Mus musculus: one gene and its partner. The protein of the gene in region 2 purifies or fractionates together with the protein of the main gene of each other region. This does not show direct contact. Links are inferred from orthologs where the notes say so. Each region holds a gene or a part of one and is shown on either strand. Other genes may lie near its edges.

Region 1 (3,818 bases), on a different chromosome or scaffold from region 2:
TGGCCTTGAACTCAGAAATCCGCCTGCCTTTGCCTCCCAAGTGCTGGGATCAAAGGCGTGCACCACCACGCCCGGCCTTGTTTAATCTTTTGATGAGACACATTTGTGTTGTGCATAAATAGTTTATAAGTACTGGCTTGTTCTGGCTAGCACGTGCACAACTTTAATTTAGGGTCATTGTGCACTTGTCACCAAACACCTTTCATAAGTACCACATAATTACGTCATCCTTACTGTTACTCTTTTTTTTTTTTTCTAAACCACTGTCAGAACCTGGCTGAGGCAGGTGACCTGCTGCTGAGCCGACACCGGCAAGGCCATTGCATTGCAGTCCTGCTGGATGGTATTGCCTTCTGCCCTCTATTTGAGTCCTTTGTAGAAGGTTAGAAAGTGGCCTGGGAAAGCCCGCCTTTAGGTCTTTGACCAATAAAGCAAATATGGGAAGAGCCAAGGGCTTGGTTTCTGATCCTCTCTGGCTTGCCTGGAAAAGTGACAGGGCTGGTCACTATGTCCAGAGGCCTCATGTTTCCTTGATTATGAATTAAGAGGCTGGTGCAGCGGACACCTGTTCTCTGGTTTTCCTACTTGTGTACTGAGGTGGACATTCAGGGTTCACAGTATAGTACATTCATATTAGGGGAATCTTGGAATAAGGAAATCTGCTTCTCTTTGATTAATGTTAAATTGACACTAAGCACGTTTAAGATTTTTGGGCCTTGCAGAGCTGATGCCTGCAGTGCCCCTCTGCTTGTGGGGTTTGAGACCAGGGCATCAGTGGAACTCGCAAGTTTTGAAAACCAGCATGGGCAGCATAGTAAGACCCCATTTAAGAAATAGTAGACTCACATCTGCGAGCCTCACGCTGTGCTCTCTGCCTGTTCTGTGTTTCCATAGACGATGCTATTGAGCGAGAGCCTCCTCTGGAGAATCAGAACAAGACTTTCAGGGACAAGGTGAGTGACAGTTTAGGAGGCTCCTGCCGGTCCTGGTTTCCATCTGTGTAATAGTCCCCCTGAGCTTGGCCCTCACTGGCTGCTCCAGCTCGATTGGTCGATGGGTCTCTGCATGGCTGCTACCTGCAGAGGCCTTCCAGTCTCCCAGGGAGCAGACCAGCTGCTGCCTTAGCCCGGTGAATGGAGGTAATGTTAGCAATTGCACCCTGTTCTCTGGGCTGATAGGTAGAAAACTTTTATTTTATTTTATTTTTTAAAGATTTACTTATTATTATGTGTAAGTACATTGTAGCTGTCTTCAGACATACCAGAAGATCTCATTACAGATGGTTGTGAGCCACCATGTGGTTGCTGGGATTTGAACTCAGGACCTTCAGAAGAGCAGTCAGTGCTCTTAATAACCACTGTGTCATCTCTCCAGCCATGGGTAGAAAACTTTTATTAAAGTTGTGGTTCACAATGTAGAAAGTGGTTGTGCCTGGGAACTCCCATAAACAAAGTCGGTTCTTTGAGTTTGTCTCAAAGAGGTTTCTTAGAGGAGCCTCTCACCGCAGGGTGGTAGATTGAATTTGCAGTGCTTCTTGTGGACCACTGATAGAGAACACACTACAGTATGACTTGGGGAGAGCCAGTGGTATATTAACAATGTCTGCTACTGGCACAGGATGGGAGATCCAGTAGCCAACCCTGAGTCTAGTAAAGTCTTCATTCTGTAGTGATGGGAAGCTATTGGTTTGTAAATGGGAGTCTGTACAGCAAACCTCGGGGCTGCTGTGGCACAGTTGAGATGGACAAGCATGACAAAAGGACTCAGCCTGATTGGCAGGTGATGTCATCCTGGCTCAGGCAGCCCAGAGCTTGCCTGTGCTCACACAGCTGGGGACAGCCATGCTGCCCAGCCAACCCTTTAGTAATTGGGTTTGTTTCCTACATAGTTGGATTCTTGCATTGAAGCCTTTGGAAGCACCAAGCAGAAGCGGTCCCTAAACTCCAGGCGGATGAACAAAGTTGGCAGCGAGTCTCTGAATCTCAGTGTGGCGAAAGCCGCGGAGAGTATTATTGATACAAAGGGTGTGAATGGTAAGCAACTGGAGCTTGGGGTGGAGACTGGGCCTGCAAAGACTTGAGAGTGGCCACAGATGCATATGGTGGGCCTTAAGGCTGGGCTCCTTCCTGCTGCTTGCTGAAGGCCTCCTCAGGAGTGACTCTGGGAGCAGGCGAGACATGCGACACCACCCTATCCTCAGTCAAGGAGAGGAGACAGGCATGGGAAGGGCCGTGAGCAGGCCCTGCTCTTGGTCAGGGTTCTCTGGTGTGCAGTAATGACATACGAGTGCACATCTCTTTGATTCTGTTCTGAGTTAGTTGAGGGCAAACACGTTGTACTCACCTTCTGCCTCTGTCCGACCGGGAGTTCAGATCTCAGCAGGTGTTCACATTCGAGTTTCAGAACGTGTGGTCCCCACTGCACAGTGGAGCTGGGGAGCCTGGAGCCAGACAGGCTGACGCTGACATCCCTTTTCCTTCCTTGAAAGCGCTGGTCAGCGATGCCATGCAGGATGACTTACAAGATGGCGTCCTCTACCTTCCTCCCTGCTACGCTGACGCAGCCAAGCCGGAAGACGTGTATAGATTTGAAGACAGTATCCTTGCTGATGAGCGGGTGTCTGATTTGCAGGCTATGATGTTTGTACACATTGGCAGAGCCAGGCTGTGTAAGGGTGGCCATCGTCCTATGACATCAATAAATATGACATCCAGATCTTCTCCCATGTCCTAGAGCTGTTAGCAAGAGGTTGGGAAGTTAGGTTTCCTCAGCACTGAGGGGCCCATGGGACAAAGGGACACAGCTTAGCCCTGTGGGGGTCATTCTGCACAAACAGCACCCAAGCATATTGAAGGAAGGGTTGGAACCTAGAACGTCACTGTTCAGCGTCTGGTTTATTGGAAAATGTTGACAGATGCTCTGATAAGGAAGAGAAGGGCGAGTGGTCCAGGGAGGAAGTGACCCCCTAAGCTGGGGTCTGAGACTTAGGTCCCTGAGCTCTGCCCTGCTTCCTCTGTGAGTCCCTTCTCTGAGCCTTCCATCTCCTACCTGGGAATTTAGGCTCTGTGGGATGACTTAGCTCCATAGCTTTCCATTTTGGTCAGTCGTGTTCTTGACCCACAACCAGTTCTGTCCCCGGCCGAGTATGATGCTCTTGAGAGCCCATCCGAAGCCTTCAGAAAGGTCACATCGGAAGACATACTGAAGATGATTGAAGAGAACAGGTACTCGTGGGCAGATGGGGTTTTTGGTGAGTCATAATGGGAAAAAGGTCAGATATAAAGCAGGACCGTGCTGATACACGCAGAAAGTAGCCCCTTGAAGTGGCAAGGGTGGCGTCTGCTCAGCCTTGGAATGAAGGAACAAGCTTTGACACTAGGCTTCAGGAGCTGTGTGGATTCAAGGAAGAGGAGTGGTTACGTGCGTAGAGCCAGTAGCTGGGAGATGGTGGTAAGGTGTTGTCATCTGGGGCCTGGGACCAAAGCTAGCCCCAATCCCCACTGTCTGTTGATGCTGATTGTCACTGTCAGTGCCCAGAGACTGGCATGGGCCTGGCACTACCCAAAGCAAAGCTTCTCTGTGACAACATGCTGACAAACGCAACTAAAATTAAATATGTACACTCTAAATATTGTATATTGATTTTAAATAACAGAGAGTATCCCTCTTCTCTTTTGCCATTAAAACAACTTTTCCTTTTTTAAAATGATGGTCAGAATATTTCTTAGTTCTGAGCCTTTTTTTTTAAATTATCTATTTAATTATTTTATGTGAGTACACTGTCGCTGTCTTCAGACACACCAGAAGAGGGCATCGGA
Region 2 (2,871 bases):
CTGGCTGGGGACATGGGATGGATCCTCTCATCATGGTCAGGCTGGGCTGGTGGCTCATACTCGGGAACAATTCTGGAGGGAAGTCACCTTGCAGATGGGTAGCCCTGGTTTAACCACTGTATCCTGGCATCTCTGGACCTGTGGCTGACAGGTCTGGGTTATAAGTGGTCTGACGTCTAGACCTGTGGGAGAGGGGCCTTGTACGTCCAATTCTTAGTACTCCTGAGACTGTGTGGAGGGCCTTAGTCCAGATGCTAGGATTTACGGAGCCTAGGGATGACTTCCCAAGGAGCTAGTTTTGCTTTGAGGGTTTTTTGAGACAGGGCCTGAATTTGACCTCATGATGTTTCTGCCACCCAAGTGCTGGGACTGGGTGTTTGTTTGAGATGGGGTCTCCTGTAACCTAGACTGGCCTCAAACTAGCTAGCACCAAGGATGACCTTGAACTCCTGATCCTCTGGCTTCCAGAGACTGGTATTATAGGCATACACCAAGCTGTTTATGCCGGGGATTGAACCTAGGGCTTTACGTATGCCAGATGAGCACTCCACCAACCAGGGTATGTCTGAGGCCATTGGCTACAACTCAGGTTGGGTGAGAGGAGCTGGGAGCCTGGGACTGGCCAGGAGCTCACATCTTCCCCAAGGCCTGGGGCTCTCACCATCATAGTTTTCAGCTTCTAGTTGTAGCCTCCAGTCTTCATCACGCGGCTCCTCTTCGTTCTCTGGGTTGGGTTGGGAATCCACGGCAGCAGGGGCATGGCTGGTGTCTGGGGTACAGTCCTGGCTCTGAGTGAGGTAGGTATCTGAGGCATCTCTTGGGTGGCTGGGACGGGGCTGGAGCAGTACGCACGCGCACGTGTGTGCCCTGACCCGGCAGGCCAAGTGCAATGCCGTGTGGCCCCCTCTCTCAGCCACCAACACTCCTGCACCGGCTGCATACAACTTCTCTACTGTAGATGCCTCCCCAAGGATGGCTGCTAGATGCAGGGCTGTCTACAGGGATAGAGAGAAGGGGTTAGTTAGGGCCACGCTGACAATCCTGGACCCACCCGGCTCCCTACAGCACACATCCCCATGGCTCACTTGGCCTAGGTCATTCTGCAGGTCAAGGTACTCGGTGCCGGCGGAGAAGCCCAGGAGGAAATCCAGGAAGGGCTCATGCTGATGAATCACAGCCAAGTGCAGGGCTCTGAGGACAAAAGGCAGAGGTCAGTGTCACAGAGTGTCTACTGTGTGCTACAAACTGTGGCCACGGTGGAAACCTGTCAGTGTTCCGGAGAGTCGAGGGCAGAAGCTAATCTAGCACTTTGTCTGGCTGCTCCGTGTTCTGAGCTAAGATAGGGTCTTCATAAGTGGCCCACACTGACCTTGAGTTCAAGCCCTCCCACCTCAGCCTCCTGAGTAGCTCGGCTGACAAGCCAGGGGAATCCATAGACTTAGTGATTTCAATAGCTCTCGTCACCAATAGGCCCAGCTACCAAATTTGTTTCACCTGTGTTAACTAAGTAACATAATCAGTGTAGTAGCTCTAATTCCAGCATCCGGGAAACCTGAGGCAGGAGGATTGTTAGTTCAAGGCCAGACTGGGCTACATGGTGAGTTCCAGAGCAGCAGGGTTAAAAACTAAATAATGAGATTCGATCACACACACATACAGAAATGCTGGGCATGGCGGCCCATGTGAGAGAGGCAAAAGCGGTGGATCTCTGAGAATCCCAGGCTAGCCTGATCTGCATGGTGAGCTCCTGGTCAGCTAGGGCTACACTGTGAGACCTGTCTCAAATAATAATACGGTAATAAAGTGAGGTACAATCGAGGTAGACAGCCAGTATGGATCTCTGTCCTCCACACATAAACATACACATACACACAGACAAGCTGGATACGATGGCTCTCACCACACACATACACAGACACACACACACACACACACACACACACACACACACACTCAGTGTAGCTCTAAGAACAGACCTTCAAATTACATAAAGCAAAAGCTAACAAGGAGAAGAAGCAACAGACGAATCCATAGGTGTGGTAACTTCACTAGGTCTCTGTCACCAACTGTTCCAACAAGTAGGAAAGCAGGAGCAAATGAACGGCAGGGCTCTGTGGTGGCTGCTGCCCTGTCTTTGCAGTCATGAGGACTGAACCTAAGGTAGCTTGCATGCAGGGACGCTGGCTGCCACTGAGCTACCTGCTATTGGTTCCCCTCATTTTGAAGTAGGGCCTCGCTGTGAATGTCCCCAGCCTGGACTTGAATTCACTCTATTCCTCGGCAGGTCCTGACCTTGAGCTCCTCCTGCCTCAATCTTCTTTGTAGCTGGAATCACACGCCCAGCTTTGAACAACACTGCTAACCAACATTCCCTCTAAGTCACACGTTGTCAAAATGAATTCCACCGGCACACAGTTCCCGAGAGCACTCGCCCAGCACTCAGAAGGCCCTGGGTCTGATGGCCAGCGCTGCAAGAGAAAAACTAGAGACCGCAAATCAGACAAAACATGTTCTCTGCCCGCAGTAAAATGAAATTTAAAGCTGGTAACAGAGAGATCTGGAAACTCCTCCAAGCGTGAAAAATGAACATACTTCTTCATAACCTACTGGCCAAAGGAGAAACCAAGAGAAATTAGAAAATATACTCATTTATGCAAAAATAAAAACACAATATATCAGAAGTTCTCCAGAGGGAATATTTACAGCATTCCAAGCACATTAGAAAAGAAGAGAGATGAGCTGGGCAGTGGCTTGCTTGGTAGACTGCTAGCTTAGCGTGCATAAGAACCTGGGATCAATCCCAACTCTGCATAAACCAGGCACGCACCACCTTGCCCGGAATTCCAGGCAGGAAGACCAAGAGTAGGGTAG

What was found.
Region 1: the proteins of Nfkbib (region 2) and Polr1e purify together in Homo sapiens (affinity purification with mass spectrometry; 3 studies listed by BioGRID and IntAct, counting the BioPlex papers as one, with this or other methods). This does not show direct contact. The link is inferred for Mus musculus from reciprocal best matches to the Homo sapiens genes NFKBIB and POLR1E.

Annotation. Positions count from the first base shown.
Region 1 is NC_000070.6:45,024,876-45,028,693, forward strand, and holds part of Polr1e (DNA-directed RNA polymerase I subunit RPA49), read left to right. Parts: intron 1-270; coding exon of another isoform or gene 271-343; intron 344-894; coding exon 895-953; intron 954-1,888; coding exon 1,889-2,033; intron 2,034-2,488; coding exon 2,489-2,596; intron 2,597-3,127; coding exon 3,128-3,224; intron 3,225-3,818. UniProt on the Homo sapiens protein: Component of RNA polymerase I (Pol I), a DNA-dependent RNA polymerase which synthesizes ribosomal RNA precursors using the four ribonucleoside triphosphates as substrates.
Region 2 is NC_000073.6:28,760,941-28,763,811, forward strand, and holds part of Nfkbib (NF-kappa-B inhibitor beta), read right to left. Parts: intron 1,192-2,871; coding exon 1,086-1,191; intron 996-1,085; coding exon 662-995; intron 1-661. UniProt on the Homo sapiens protein: Inhibits NF-kappa-B by complexing with and trapping it in the cytoplasm.